3 linked regions of the Macaca mulatta genome follow. The protein of the gene in region 2 purifies or fractionates together with the protein of the main gene of each other region. This does not show direct contact. Links are inferred from orthologs where the notes say so. Each region holds a gene or a part of one and is shown on either strand. Other genes may lie near its edges. The genes, in order: CCNB1, PTCH1 and GRK2.

What was found.
Region 1: the proteins of PTCH1 (region 2) and CCNB1 purify together in Homo sapiens (affinity purification with western blotting; 3 studies listed by BioGRID and IntAct, with this or other methods). This does not show direct contact. The link is inferred for Macaca mulatta from reciprocal best matches to the Homo sapiens genes PTCH1 and CCNB1.
Region 3: the proteins of PTCH1 (region 2) and GRK2 purify together in Homo sapiens (affinity purification with western blotting; 3 studies listed by BioGRID and IntAct, with this or other methods). This does not show direct contact. The link is inferred for Macaca mulatta from reciprocal best matches to the Homo sapiens genes PTCH1 and GRK2.

Annotation. Positions count from the first base shown.
Region 1 is NC_133411.1:77,240,167-77,243,696, forward strand, and holds part of CCNB1 (G2/mitotic-specific cyclin-B1), read left to right. Parts: intron 1-1,258; coding exon 1,259-1,417; intron 1,418-2,225; coding exon 2,226-2,462; intron 2,463-2,744; coding exon 2,745-2,885; intron 2,886-3,175; exon of another isoform or gene 3,176-3,277; intron 3,278-3,530. UniProt on the Homo sapiens protein: Essential for the control of the cell cycle at the G2/M (mitosis) transition.
Region 2 is NC_133420.1:127,945,293-127,949,423, reverse strand, and holds the start of PTCH1 (protein patched homolog 1), read right to left. Parts: upstream 2,826-4,131; 5' UTR 1,969-2,825; coding exon 1,762-1,968; intron 1,069-1,761; exon of another isoform or gene 790-1,068; intron 143-789; coding exon 1-142.
Region 3 is NC_133419.1:7,100,225-7,104,373, forward strand, and holds the end of GRK2 (beta-adrenergic receptor kinase 1), read right to left. Parts: intron 3,935-4,149; coding exon 3,834-3,934; intron 3,356-3,833; coding exon 3,289-3,355; intron 3,217-3,288; coding exon 3,121-3,216; intron 2,861-3,120; coding exon 2,698-2,860; intron 2,221-2,697; coding exon 2,084-2,220; intron 1,993-2,083; coding exon 1,879-1,992; coding exon of another isoform or gene 1,857-1,878; intron 1,803-1,856; coding exon of another isoform or gene 1,782-1,802; coding exon 1,617-1,781; 3' UTR 501-1,616; downstream 1-500. UniProt on the Homo sapiens protein: Specifically phosphorylates the agonist-occupied form of the beta-adrenergic and closely related receptors, probably inducing a desensitization of them. Key regulator of LPAR1 signaling.

The sequences.
Region 1 (3,530 bases), on a different chromosome or scaffold from region 2:
TATGTATACATTTTCTTGGGGAAAGTATACGTGCTCTAGAATGAATGTGCGGGTGGCTGAGAGAATGCTACAGACATCATAGCCTATAATGTATACAATAGTATGAAGGGCTGTTTTGGAGGAGAGGCCAAACTTAAAGTGAATAGGCAGAAGGCACATTGGATTAGCATTTAAAATAAAGTCACTCTTGTCCCCCACAGTTCTTAGCTATGTTGCTATTGGGCTTTAACCCTGGAGCAGGCAGGAGTGTTGTAATAGATGGGTTCCAGCTGCCCTGGGAGTTTGATATTTTCTCTACGTAAAGCTCAGGTTCTAACTTTAGAGGCTCAAGTGAAAAGATCTGAGATGATAGTATAGTATCTTTATTTGGAAGGGAGTGGACTAGCAAGAGTTGTGGTGAATTGAATATCGTAAGACCTGACAATATAAAAAAGCTGTCACACTGTCCTATCTAATGTTTGCCCTTTTTTGGCGGGGGGGTGAAGGGGGAACAGTCTCTCTCTGTCACCCAGGCTGGAGAGCAGTGGTGCAATCTCGGCTACCTGCAACCTCCACCTCCTGGGTTCAAGCAATTCTCCTGCCTCAGCCTCCTGAGCAGCTGGGACTACAGGTGTGCGCAACCACGCCCAGCTAATTTTTGTATTTTTAGTAAAGAGAGGTTTTGCCATGTTGGCCAGGCTGGTCTCGAACTCCTGGCCTCGAGCAATCTGCCCATCTCAGCCTCCCAAAGTGCTGGAATTACAGGCATGAGCCACCACGCCAGCCTTAATGTTTGCTTTCTTTCTTGGTGATGGTGTTGTTTGTGGTGACCATATGAATAATTGAATTAAGAACTGATACAAAGGCTGGGCACAGTGGCTCACGCCTGTAATCCCAGCACTTTGGGAGGCCAAGACAGGTGGATCACGAGGTCAGGAGATCGAGACCATCCTGGCTAACACAGTGAAACCCCGTCTCTACTAAAATACAAAAAAAAATTAGCCAGGCGTGGTGGTGGACGCCTGTAGTTCCAACTACTCGGGAGGCTGAGGCAGGAGAATGGCATGAACCCGGGAGGCGGAGCTTGCAGTGAGCCGAGATCGCGCCACTGCACTCCAGCCTGGGCGACAGAGCGGGACTCCGTCTCAAAAAAAAAAGGAACTGATAGAGATTCTAAATGCCCCAGTGCTACTTACTGTAGGAACTAACTGATCTTTCTGGACATAAATGTGTCACATGGAGTCATGTTTCTAAGAATAATCGGCATTTTCTTTTGCAGGAAGAGCAAGCAGTCAGACCAAAATACCTACTGGGTCGGGAAGTCACTGGAAACATGAGAGCCATTCTAATTGACTGGCTAGTACAGGTTCAAATGAAATTCAGGTTGTTGCAGGAGACCATGTACATGACTGTCTCCATTATTGATCGGTTCATGCAGGTAAGCATTTCAGTAAGTTTTCCCTTCCAGGATTCTAGCCGAGTCATAAGAAGCTGACGTTTTTGGGCTGGGCCGGGTGTGGCGGCTCATGCCTGCAATCCCAGCGGGTGGGTGGATCACGAGGTTAGGAGATCCGAGACCATCTTGGCTAACACAGTAAAACCCCGTCTCTACTAAAAATACAAAAATCGGCCGGGCGCGGTGGCTCAAGCCTGTAATCCCAGTACTTTGGGAGGCCGAGACGGGTGGATCACGAGGTCAGAAGATCGAGACCATCCTGGCTAACACGGTGAAACCCCGTCTCTACTAAAAAATACAAAAAACTAGCCGGGCGAGGTGGCGGGCGCCTGTAGTCCCAGCTACTCAGGAGGCTGAGGCAGGAGAATGGCCCGAACCCGGGAGGCGGAGCTTGCAGTGAGCTGAGATCCGGCCACTGCACTCCAGCCTGGGCGACAGAGCGAGACTCCGTCTCAAAAAAAAAATAAATAAAAATAAAAAAAAAATAAAAATACAAAAATTTAGCTGGGTGTGGTGGCGGGCGCCTGTCGTCCCAGCTACAGGAGGCAGAGGTTGCAGTGAGCTGAGATCGCGCCATTGCACTCCAGCCTGGGCGACAGAGTGAGACTCCATCTCAAAAAAAAAAAAAAAAGAAAGAAAGAAACTGACTTTTTCAGCTAAAATCTTTCTTGGGGGATATGGTATCATTAATTAAGATTTTGCAATGGGAGAATGTCTTTCTACCTCTCCATCATAGCTCTGTGTCTCCTTTTCAAACATGTTATTCATTGTGTTGAAATTCCCATTGCAGAATAATTGTGTGCCCAAGAAGATGCTGCAGCTGGTTGGTGTCACTGCCATGTTCATTGCAAGCAAATATGAAGAAATGTACCCTCCAGAAATTGGTGACTTTGCTTTTGTGACTGACAATACTTACACTAAGCACCAAATCAGACAGATGGAAATGAAGATTCTAAGAGCTTTAAACTTTGGTCTGGGTCGGCCTCTACCTTTGCACTTCCTTCGGAGAGCATCTAAGATTGGAGAGGTACAGGTTTCTTAAGAAACCTTTCGGTATGGGTACATTAGGGAACACTGCTGCTGACCAAGCAAGTCGAATTCAACTGACCTATATTATACCTAACTACATGGGGAAGAGAGAAAGTTGTTCTTTATTTTTAGTCAGGCTGCATGTTAATATTAGGGCTTTCCGTGGGCATTTGAGAGTTTGTAGACAAACATTTGTAGTTAAAAGATACATATGGGCATGCAGGTTAGTGCCAAATGAAAATTTTCTGAAAGAAACTCAGTGACACGGGTTTTGTTTCAGGTTGATGTTGAGCAACATACTTTGGCCAAATACCTGATGGAACTAACTATGTTGGACTATGATATGGTGCACTTTCCTCCTTCTCAAATTGCAGCAGGAGCTTTTTGCTTAGCACTGAAAATTCTGGATAATGGTGAATGGGTAAGCTCTGTCCCACAGAACTCCTAAGCTTTTAAATTGTAAAGAATGTTTGACTAAATACAGAACTTTTGTTATTAAAGGGCAATTCAAGTGATTCATAAATATGGGATCTACTGAAGGAATAGTTTAAAAAGATGTCATAGAATGTTTCCACATGGTTTTGTTTTTGAGACAAGGTCTCGCTCTGTCGCCTGGGCTGGAGTGCAGTGATGCAGTCTTGACCCACTGCAACCTCAGCCTCCAGAGTAGCTGGGACTGAAGGTTTCTGGCTAGTTTTTAAATTCTTTTCATGTCAGACGGGTAATATGCCCACGTTGTAACAAGGTTTGAGGGTGGCACATTTCACACGTTCACATGAACACCCAATCATCACACTTATAAACTACAAGAGTCGCCCACCAGCCTGGGCAACGTAGCAAATCCTCATCTTTACAAATATATATATATATATATATATATATATATTCAGGTTGTTGCAGGAGACCATGTACATGACTGTCTCATCTTTACAAATATATATATATACACACACACAAATATATATATATACACAAATATATATATATACACACACAAATACATATATATACACAAATATATATATATATATATATATATAGGCAAATGTCTGTAGTCCCAGCTACT
Region 2 (4,131 bases):
CCACCGCGAAGGCCCCAAATATGAGGAGGCCCACAACCAAGAACTTGCCGCAGTTTTTTTGAATGTAACAACCCAGTTTAAATAAGAGTCTCTGAAACTTCGCTCTCAGCCACAGCGGCGCTTTCCGGCCAGTAGCCTTCCCCTGGGGACGAAGCAGAAGGGAGGAGTGAGCGCCGGGGAGTCGCGGCCCGCGCGCCCACGCCCGGTCGCGCGCACCCGCCCGGTGAGCCCCCAGCAGCCGTGGGGGCGCGGGTGGCCGCGGCACACGGACTCGCCCTCGAGGCTGCAGCCCTGGCGGACCTGAGCGTCATGGGGGGGGGGCGGGCTCGGTCATAAATCAAATCCGGGCCGCAGCGTGGGAGCTGCACCTCGGGGACATCAGGGCGCCCCCACCCGCGGGATCCCTGAGTACGACCTGGGGCACTGGGGCTGCAATACAGGAGAAGAGGAAGCCGAGGTAGAGAGGAGAGAAACCACTAGACACAGGCAATATTCACCCCAGACCTGAGAAGGGAGGGGCTGCGTAATCCCAGCGATGGAACCCAAGGTTCAGGAGCCAGCAAACCAGTCCTGCTCCGTCCATCACCCTCGGGGACGGGCGCTAGGGGCGAGCGCGCTTGGGAACAACATATTGCGGGTTCCCCCAACTGGACCCCCGCCTAGAGTGGTAGTAAGTGGGGATCCACGTGGTGAGCGCGGCCGCCGGAGTTCACTCCCGACGCTTTTCCACAGCGTTGGAAGAGGCTGTGTGAGCTGAATTAGGAAGTGGGGCAGCCATCTGCAACTTACGACAATATTTGTGATCGGAAGAGGGCGGCCACATGGATCTTTCCCTCCTCTCCCTTCCTTTCTGGTTAAACGTAAAAAACAGCCGAGTGCACAGGGAAGGGCCCAGGCCGGCGCAGGCTGCTCCCCGGCGCGGCGTTTCCCCGGCGCTGGCCGCGGCCCCGGCGGGCCCCCGTCTGGGTGCTCGCCTTCCCCGGATTCCACACATTTCAGCGAGCCTCGTAAACACAATGAACCCGGCCGCTCCGCAGACTCGCACCGCGAATTTAAGGTGGCAATTTGTTTACAACTTTCCCTCCCCCTACCAGGCCCTGAGGAGAGGCGGCTCAAAACCTGGAAAACACGGGGAATGTCTTTTTCCGAGAATAATTTTTTAAGGGAGCAGAGATTTCATGCTCAACAAAAGCAAAACCGGCTGCCAAAAAAGGAAACCACCTTTATTTCGGCTCCCTCCCCCCTTCCTCTCTCCGCCTCTCTCCACTCCGCCTCCCCCTCCAAGATGTTAAGAAATGTGGCAGCATTACAGGGGTTTAGGCTGCAAATAGGAGCAGGGGCGCAGGAGGAGGGAGTTCCAGGGCAGGGGGCACGGGGCAGGGCAGTACCACGGCCGCCTTTGAGGTGGTCCGCCGTGGACGGCTTTCCAGTGCTCCGGAAAAGGCACGCCGGGGAGGGTGTGTGTACACACACACACACACACACACACACAAGCACACACCTCCACCCCCTGCGGACCTGAGACAGCCCTTTCCTCCCAGGACTAGAGGGAGGGTTTGAATTTTTCAATCCCCACTTGTCTGCTGCTTTTCCTGGAGAGGTGTGAGTGTGTGTGTGTGTGTGTGTGAGAGAGAGTGTGTGTGTTTGTGTGTGTGTGTGTGTGAGAGAGAGTGTGTGTGTGTGTGTGTGTGGCGGGGGCGATCCCAAAGAGTTAGAGGAGGGAAGAGAAAGTGGGAGGAGAGGAGAGAGTCTGAAATGCACCTTGGAAATCTGCTCCAAAGCGAAGGCGGCGTCGCAGTAGCTGGGCCGGTGCAGATAGTCCCGGTCCGGCGCGGCACCACGGCGCAGCCCCCCCGTCCGTCTGCGCCTCCCACCTCCAGCCGGCCGGCCCGGGGCACCGATGCAGCCGCTGCCGCCGCCGCCGCCGCCGCGGTCCTGGGGCTCGGCGACGTTACCAGCCGAGGCCATGTTGCCGCCGCCGCCGCCGCCGCCGCCGCCGCCGCCGCGGGGACGGAGGCTTCCCGGGCGGCCCGGCGCGCTGCTGCCGCTGCTGCGGGCTCCTGGCGCGCCTGGGCGCTCGGCTCGCGAGGACGCTGCTGGCCGCAGGCTGCTCGGGCTCGGGCTCCGGTTGACAGACCAGCCGCTGCTGCTGCTCACACGGCGGGCGCTGCTGCCGCTGCGGCCGCGGCCGCTGCCGGGGAGTCAGACCCTGCGCCTTCCATTGCCACATTGCGCGGGGGTCCCGAGGTCTCTGCGGCCGCCGCTGCCCACATCCAGTTCGCGGGAGGGCGAGAGCCGGCGCGCCGAGCGAGCCTGTCCTTCGGGCGCTTCCGCGGCACTCCTTGCGGTCCCCAACACCCCCTACCCGCCCCCCGCCCCGCGCCGCGACCCCTTCACTGCAGAAAGAGCCAGCGAATCCCCGTCGCTCCCGCCGGCCGCGCTGCCTCCCTCGGCGCCTCCCGGGTCGCCCGAGCGGCCGCGGAGGGCAAGCGCAGAGCCGCCGCCGCCGCGGGGTCCGAGGGTGCCCGGCGGGTCTCAGCGCTGCCGGGCCGGGGCAGCCGCCGCTGCCGCTGCTCCCGCGGTGGCTGCTGCTGGCGGTGGCGGATCCAGGAGCTGCTGCTCGGGCTGCTCGGGCTCTGGCTGCTGGGTTCGCGGTGGCTGCTCGGTCCCGGACTCTGCTTTCTTGTGCTCCTCGGCAACCCGCTGGACCATTCTGTCCCCGTGCAGCGCGCCTCTCTCGCTCCCGGGACCTGGGGACTCCGCTCTGTGTGTGTGCAGCGGGCAGCGGCCGCAGCAGCTCCTTGATTCAATAGATGAGATGGAAGAAGAAAAAAAAGAACTCTCTCCATTTGGAGAAAGAAGAGGAGGAGGGGAGGGGGTGGAGGGGGAGAGAGCGAGCGAAAGAGAAAAAGGCTGGAGCTCCCGCCCCCGGGGCTGTCAGATGGCTTGGGTTTCTGCGACGCGATTGGCTCGCGGAGGGCAGAAATTACTCAGCAAACATGACTATTATTAGCTGCTTAGCAACAGCTCACCAAAGTAGAGAGACCACCCAGGTAGGCAACCCAGTGTGTGCATCCCCGGCTTCGGGGCAGCCTCTGAGAGCGCCAACCTTCTCGCATGCAATACTTCCATTAAGGAATGCTCCCCCTCCTTTCTCTCTTATTCCTTTTCTTTTCAACAGTGTCTTCTTTTTTGTGGGATGCCCTTTGCGCGCACACACGCGCGCGCACGCACACACACGAACATTTGCCTCGCGGTAGACACGGGGGGAAATGTAATATTTTTTTAAGCGCTTAAACAATTTCTGAAATTCCTCAAAGAAAAGCCTTTCAGAGGCACCTTGGCCTCAAGCTGCAGCAAATACTGGGAGGTCCGGCTCGCATTCCCAGGCCTGCACCAATAATGACAGCGTGCTGGATAGTGCGCCAGTGTGTGCCAGATTTTTTTTTCCTCCTCTCTTTTCTTTTATAACTAAAGGGAAGACTTAGGCTCTTGCAGGGAACAACGCCTCGCATTAAGATAAACAGAATGGAAAGTTAAAGAGGAAAGCAAAGACGTTGGGAAAAGCCACCCTTTCTTCAAATCCGTCTGCCCTCCCCCCGCCGCTTTCTCCCCCAACTTAAAAAAAAAAAAAACCGACAGTACAGTCTTGGTTTGAAGGAGTCAGTGTTCTATAAACGTGGAATCCAGACACCGAAGCAGTCTTGTAGAGGCAGAGGCGTTTTTATTTGAATCTCGAATGTGACATAAGTAAAAGAGAAACAACAGAATCCTTTTTTACAACTCAGAGAAACGTAATTGCTTCCTTGAGAGAGTAAAGTTTTCCTGATTATTTTGGGTTCATTTGTACCCCCCTTTTTATTAACCAGATGTTTATACAGTAAGTTTTTTACAAAACCCGGTATGCATGTTATATTTAATAATAGTATGACGTTGGAGATTATAAATGCCCGATGTTGGATTCATTCAAAACAAACTGTGCGCGGATCGCGAGGGTTTGTCCCGACACCGCGTCCAGTGTCACCAAGACATCCCGGGGATTCGCTTCCCGCGGAGGAGGAAAACACGCGACCCTTTGAGGTGGATCCTGGAGTCAGACACCTCTACACAACTAGGCTTTTTATTTTTTAA
Region 3 (4,149 bases), on a different chromosome or scaffold from region 2:
CCCCTACTAGGGCTGTGCAGTGAGAACAGAGAGGAGGCTGAAGCCAGAGATGGCCAAGGGCCTGCGGCGCGATCTAGAGAGCAGACATGCCTTGTGACTGTTTCTGGGGAGGGGCGTCAGCTTGGAGCCTGCTGTGCAGGGGTGTTCTGTGGGCCTGAGAAGGTCGCAGTCAGCCCAGACACTGCACCAGATGTAACACTGCTGGCACCTCCTCCTACTTACCTGGTAAGTGGCAGAAGCTGCTCTCTCCTCCCTGAGAAAAGGTGAGGAATGGGCACTGGACAGCCACTAGGCGGGAGGACTGCCAGCTGGGAAGGGCAGGACGGGGAGTGGGACTCACTGCCTCACCCCACCTGGAAGATGGCCTGGGCCCCAGCAGGCCACCTTGGAAGCCGTGGTGGTGGTGGAGACCTGGTACCACCGAGACCCTCCCGCTCAGGCCCCAGCCCAGCAGAGGCTGAAAAGCAGTCACCAGGTACAAAGAGTCTGAGACAGCCGAATCAGGCACCATTTTTTATAAAAACGCATAGTCTCATTTTTCACTCTTTAAAATCACATTCAAAAATCGGCAAAGAAACGCCCCGGGGAATGAGTAGACGGGAGGGGAGGGTGCGCCAACCCAGCCCCGGGGGGGAGAAGGCGCGACACCACACAGGCAGCGTGACTGGCACGAGGGGGCATGCGGTGGGCGAGGCGGCGCCCCAAGGTGGCGGCACTGACAGGACGTGGGCTGTGGGGTTGGCCAGCCTGGGCAAGGGTACACTGATGGGCCGGGGTGGGGGGCACACTGACAGTCCCCAGCCAGCCTCCTTGATGTGCTGCCCGCCCACCTGGCCGGCCCCGTCCTGGGCAGAAGGGGTCGCACCCGCCCCAGCATCGGGGAGACCTCAGGCCAGGCGAGGCCAGTATGGCCCAACCCACAGTAGCCTTGCTGTGGTCCCTGAGCCCAGGTGCTGGGGGTTGGGGCAAGAGGGGACAGAAGGGAGGGTAGCAGCACCTGCCGCCAATGCCACCCTCTCAGCCGAGCCCTGCAGTGTCAGGGAAGTGGGAGTGGAGGCAGCCAGTGACACCGAGGCTTTTCCTGAATAAGGGCACAGGAGCCCGAGTCACTGTGGGAGGCCTTGGGGACCAGGGAGACAACAGGCCCCTCCTCTCACCAACGCTGTGGGGCAGGACAGTGCAGGGCCTGCCCCTCTGCAGCAGGAGGGGTGCAGTGGGAAAATTCAGTCGGATCCCTGTGCTGCGCCCACCCCAGTGAGGGAGGCTGGGCCACTCAGCAGTGCCCGTGGGCACAGAGTGCAGCCCACAGAGCCCAGGGTGGCACAGCTTGGTGTGGCATCATCCCTCAGGGAAGGGGCGAGAGGGCTGTGCTCTTCCCCCACAGGAAGACACTGGGAGTGGGCAGCCCCTGGGGTCAGGACGGTGGGTGCCGGGCAGCGGCTGGGTTGGTGCAGCAGGAGCTGAGGCAAGCAGGCCCCTCCCGGGGAAGGTGGGCCAGGCTGGGGCCACAGGAAATCACAATAATTACAAAATAAAACCTTTTCCGCTTGGCGGGAAAACAAATAATAAAAATTCGACAAAATAAATTAGAGGTTTATAAAAGGCAGGCGGGCGGGTCAGAGGCCGTTGGCACTGCCGCGCTGGACCAGCGGCACCTTGCTCAGCTCCACCACGGGCGAGCGCGGCTTGTTCTTCATCTTGGGCACCCGCTGCACCAGCTGCTGGGCCTCGCGGTAGGCGTCACGCAGCTCCTTCTTCCACTGCACCAGTTCAGGGTCGCTCTACACATGCCAAGCCCAGCTCTGTTAGCTGGGGCTCTCCCCAGCCTGCCTGACCTGGCCCCTTGGCCCTCCCACCCCCAGCCCAGCCCCCACTCACGTCGCACTGCAAAACGAACTGTTTCCCACCGCGGATCTTGAGGAGCAGGCACTTGCGCTCCTTGATCTGCGTCTCCTCCACGGACTGGATCTCCTCCATGGTCAGCAGGCTCTGCTGCAGGGCCAGGGATGGGTGGTGCGGGTAAGAGCCGGGCCGGCCGGCCACCTGGAAGCCCAGCTCCCAGACCCCCGCACGGGCTCCTTACCGGGGCCTCGCCCTCGCCCCGCCACTCCAGGCGGTTGGGGAACAGGTAGAAGTACCGCCGCTGCCACTGGGTCAGGAAGGGGTTGCCCATCTTGGACATGTAGCCGTGCATGATGCAGTCCTTGCCCAGGGCGTAGTCTGAGGTGAGAGACAGAGGAGACTCAGCCGGCCCCACCTGGGTTTCTTTTTTGTTGTTTTCAGACAGGGTCTCCACTCTGTTGCCCAGGCTGGAGGGCTGTGGCAAAATCTTGGCTCACTGCAACCTCCACCTCCCAGGTTCAAGCGATCCTCCCGCCTCAGCCTCCCGGGTAGCTGGGAGTACAGGCGCGTGCCACCATGCCCGGCTAATTTTTTTTGGTATTTTTTGGTAGAGACAGGGTTTCACCATGTTGGCCAAGCTGGTCTCAAACTCCTGACCTCAAGTGATCTGCGCTCCTTGGCCTCCCAAAGTGCTGGGATTACAGGCGTGAGCCACCACGCCCGGCCCCAGCCTGAGTTTCAATCCCAGAGCCGCCACTTTCTGGCTGTGATCCAGGGCGAGTTCCTTAAACCCGAGCCAGCTGCTCCCTTCTAAGCAGGCAGGGGCCTGGTGCCGCAGCAGCCGGCGACCCTCACCTTCCTCATGGCCCAGCTGCTTGTTCTTGGCTTTCTTGCGAGCCTCCAGCCGGTCTGTCTCAGCGTTGATGGTGTCGAAGACAGTCTCGGCCACCTCCTGCTGCCACCGCTCCGAGATGGTGAGGGGGAAGTTGCGGTAGAGCTCCTGATCACTGTCCAGTAACTTTACCAGGTGGATGGGGCAGGGGCACATGAATGGACAGAGATGCCGGAATACCATCAGCCACAGGCTGCCCAGACCCAGGGCCCTGGGTAGGGATGGTCAGTGCAACTGCCACCCCCAGGGAAGTTGGCTGAGGAGGAGCTGAGGCCTACAAGCTGGCAGGGCTGGCACAGGGTCTCACGGGTGATAAGAAGGGACAGGGATCCTCCCCCAGGCCAGGATCAGAGCCCAGGTACAAGAGGCCAGGCAAGGCCCAGTACCTTGATTCCTTTTGTGTCCTCCTCATCAAAGGAGCCAATGTCGAAGGCGTCAGCCGCGTTCACCTCCCCTCGTGGGGGGATCAGCGGGGGAGGGTACTGCAGCAGAACAGGGCATTAGCTCGGGGGTGGGACTGCAGAGCACCCCCAGTCCCTGCCGCAGACTGTTACCTTCTGCAAGAAGACCATCTGCCAGTCCAGGGAGCGGAAAAAGGGGCTCTCTTTCACCTCCTGAGCCCTGCGGGGAGAGGCCAGTCATCTGGGCTCAGCCCCACCCTGAGCCCTGGGCTTAACTCCTGGTTGAGCCACTTTCTGGCTCTGTGAACTTGGGCAAGTTCCTTAAGCTTGAGCTGTTTCCTCATCTCTCAAATGGGAGAACAGAAGTTCCTACATCATAGGGTTGTGGGTTTTAACATTGGTAAATTTTGCAACCCTATGCCCAGTGCTTAATAAATGTTCAATAAACATAAAAAGCTGCTATTATCATTGTCTGTGACAAGGGCCCCTCTGGAAGCCAGTTACCAGCTGGTTCCAGCAGCTCCAACCCCCAGGGCAGCCCCTCCACCCTGAGAACATTGGACAGGGCTGGCCATGCCCCAACTTGTGAGCTCCTCCAAGGAGGCTGCGACCTTGGAGGGGGTTCCAGGTGACGGGACACAGCCCTTGTCCTCATGGGGGCACAGCCGGCAGCATGCCCAAGGCGCCAGGGCACTCACCCTCGGCCCAGGCAGCCCAGTCTCCGGTTGACGTCTCTCTGCAGCAGCCCCTCTAGCAGGGAGCGGAGTTCAGGGGAGAAGGAGTCGGGCAGCTCCACAGCCTTTAGAGAGGAGTGGGACATTAGCAGGGGCTTAGGAAGAGCCCTCGACCCCATCCCAGCTCAGGGGAGAGAGGGGTCCAAGCCCCCGGCAGAGGGACAGATGGGGCGCAGCTTCCATCTGTCAGGTGCTCCAACAGCAAGGGGAGGACAAGAGCCTAGGGGCAGGAGGTCTGCCTCGGAGGCCAGAGTAGGGGTCAGTGGCCGAGATCTCTGCT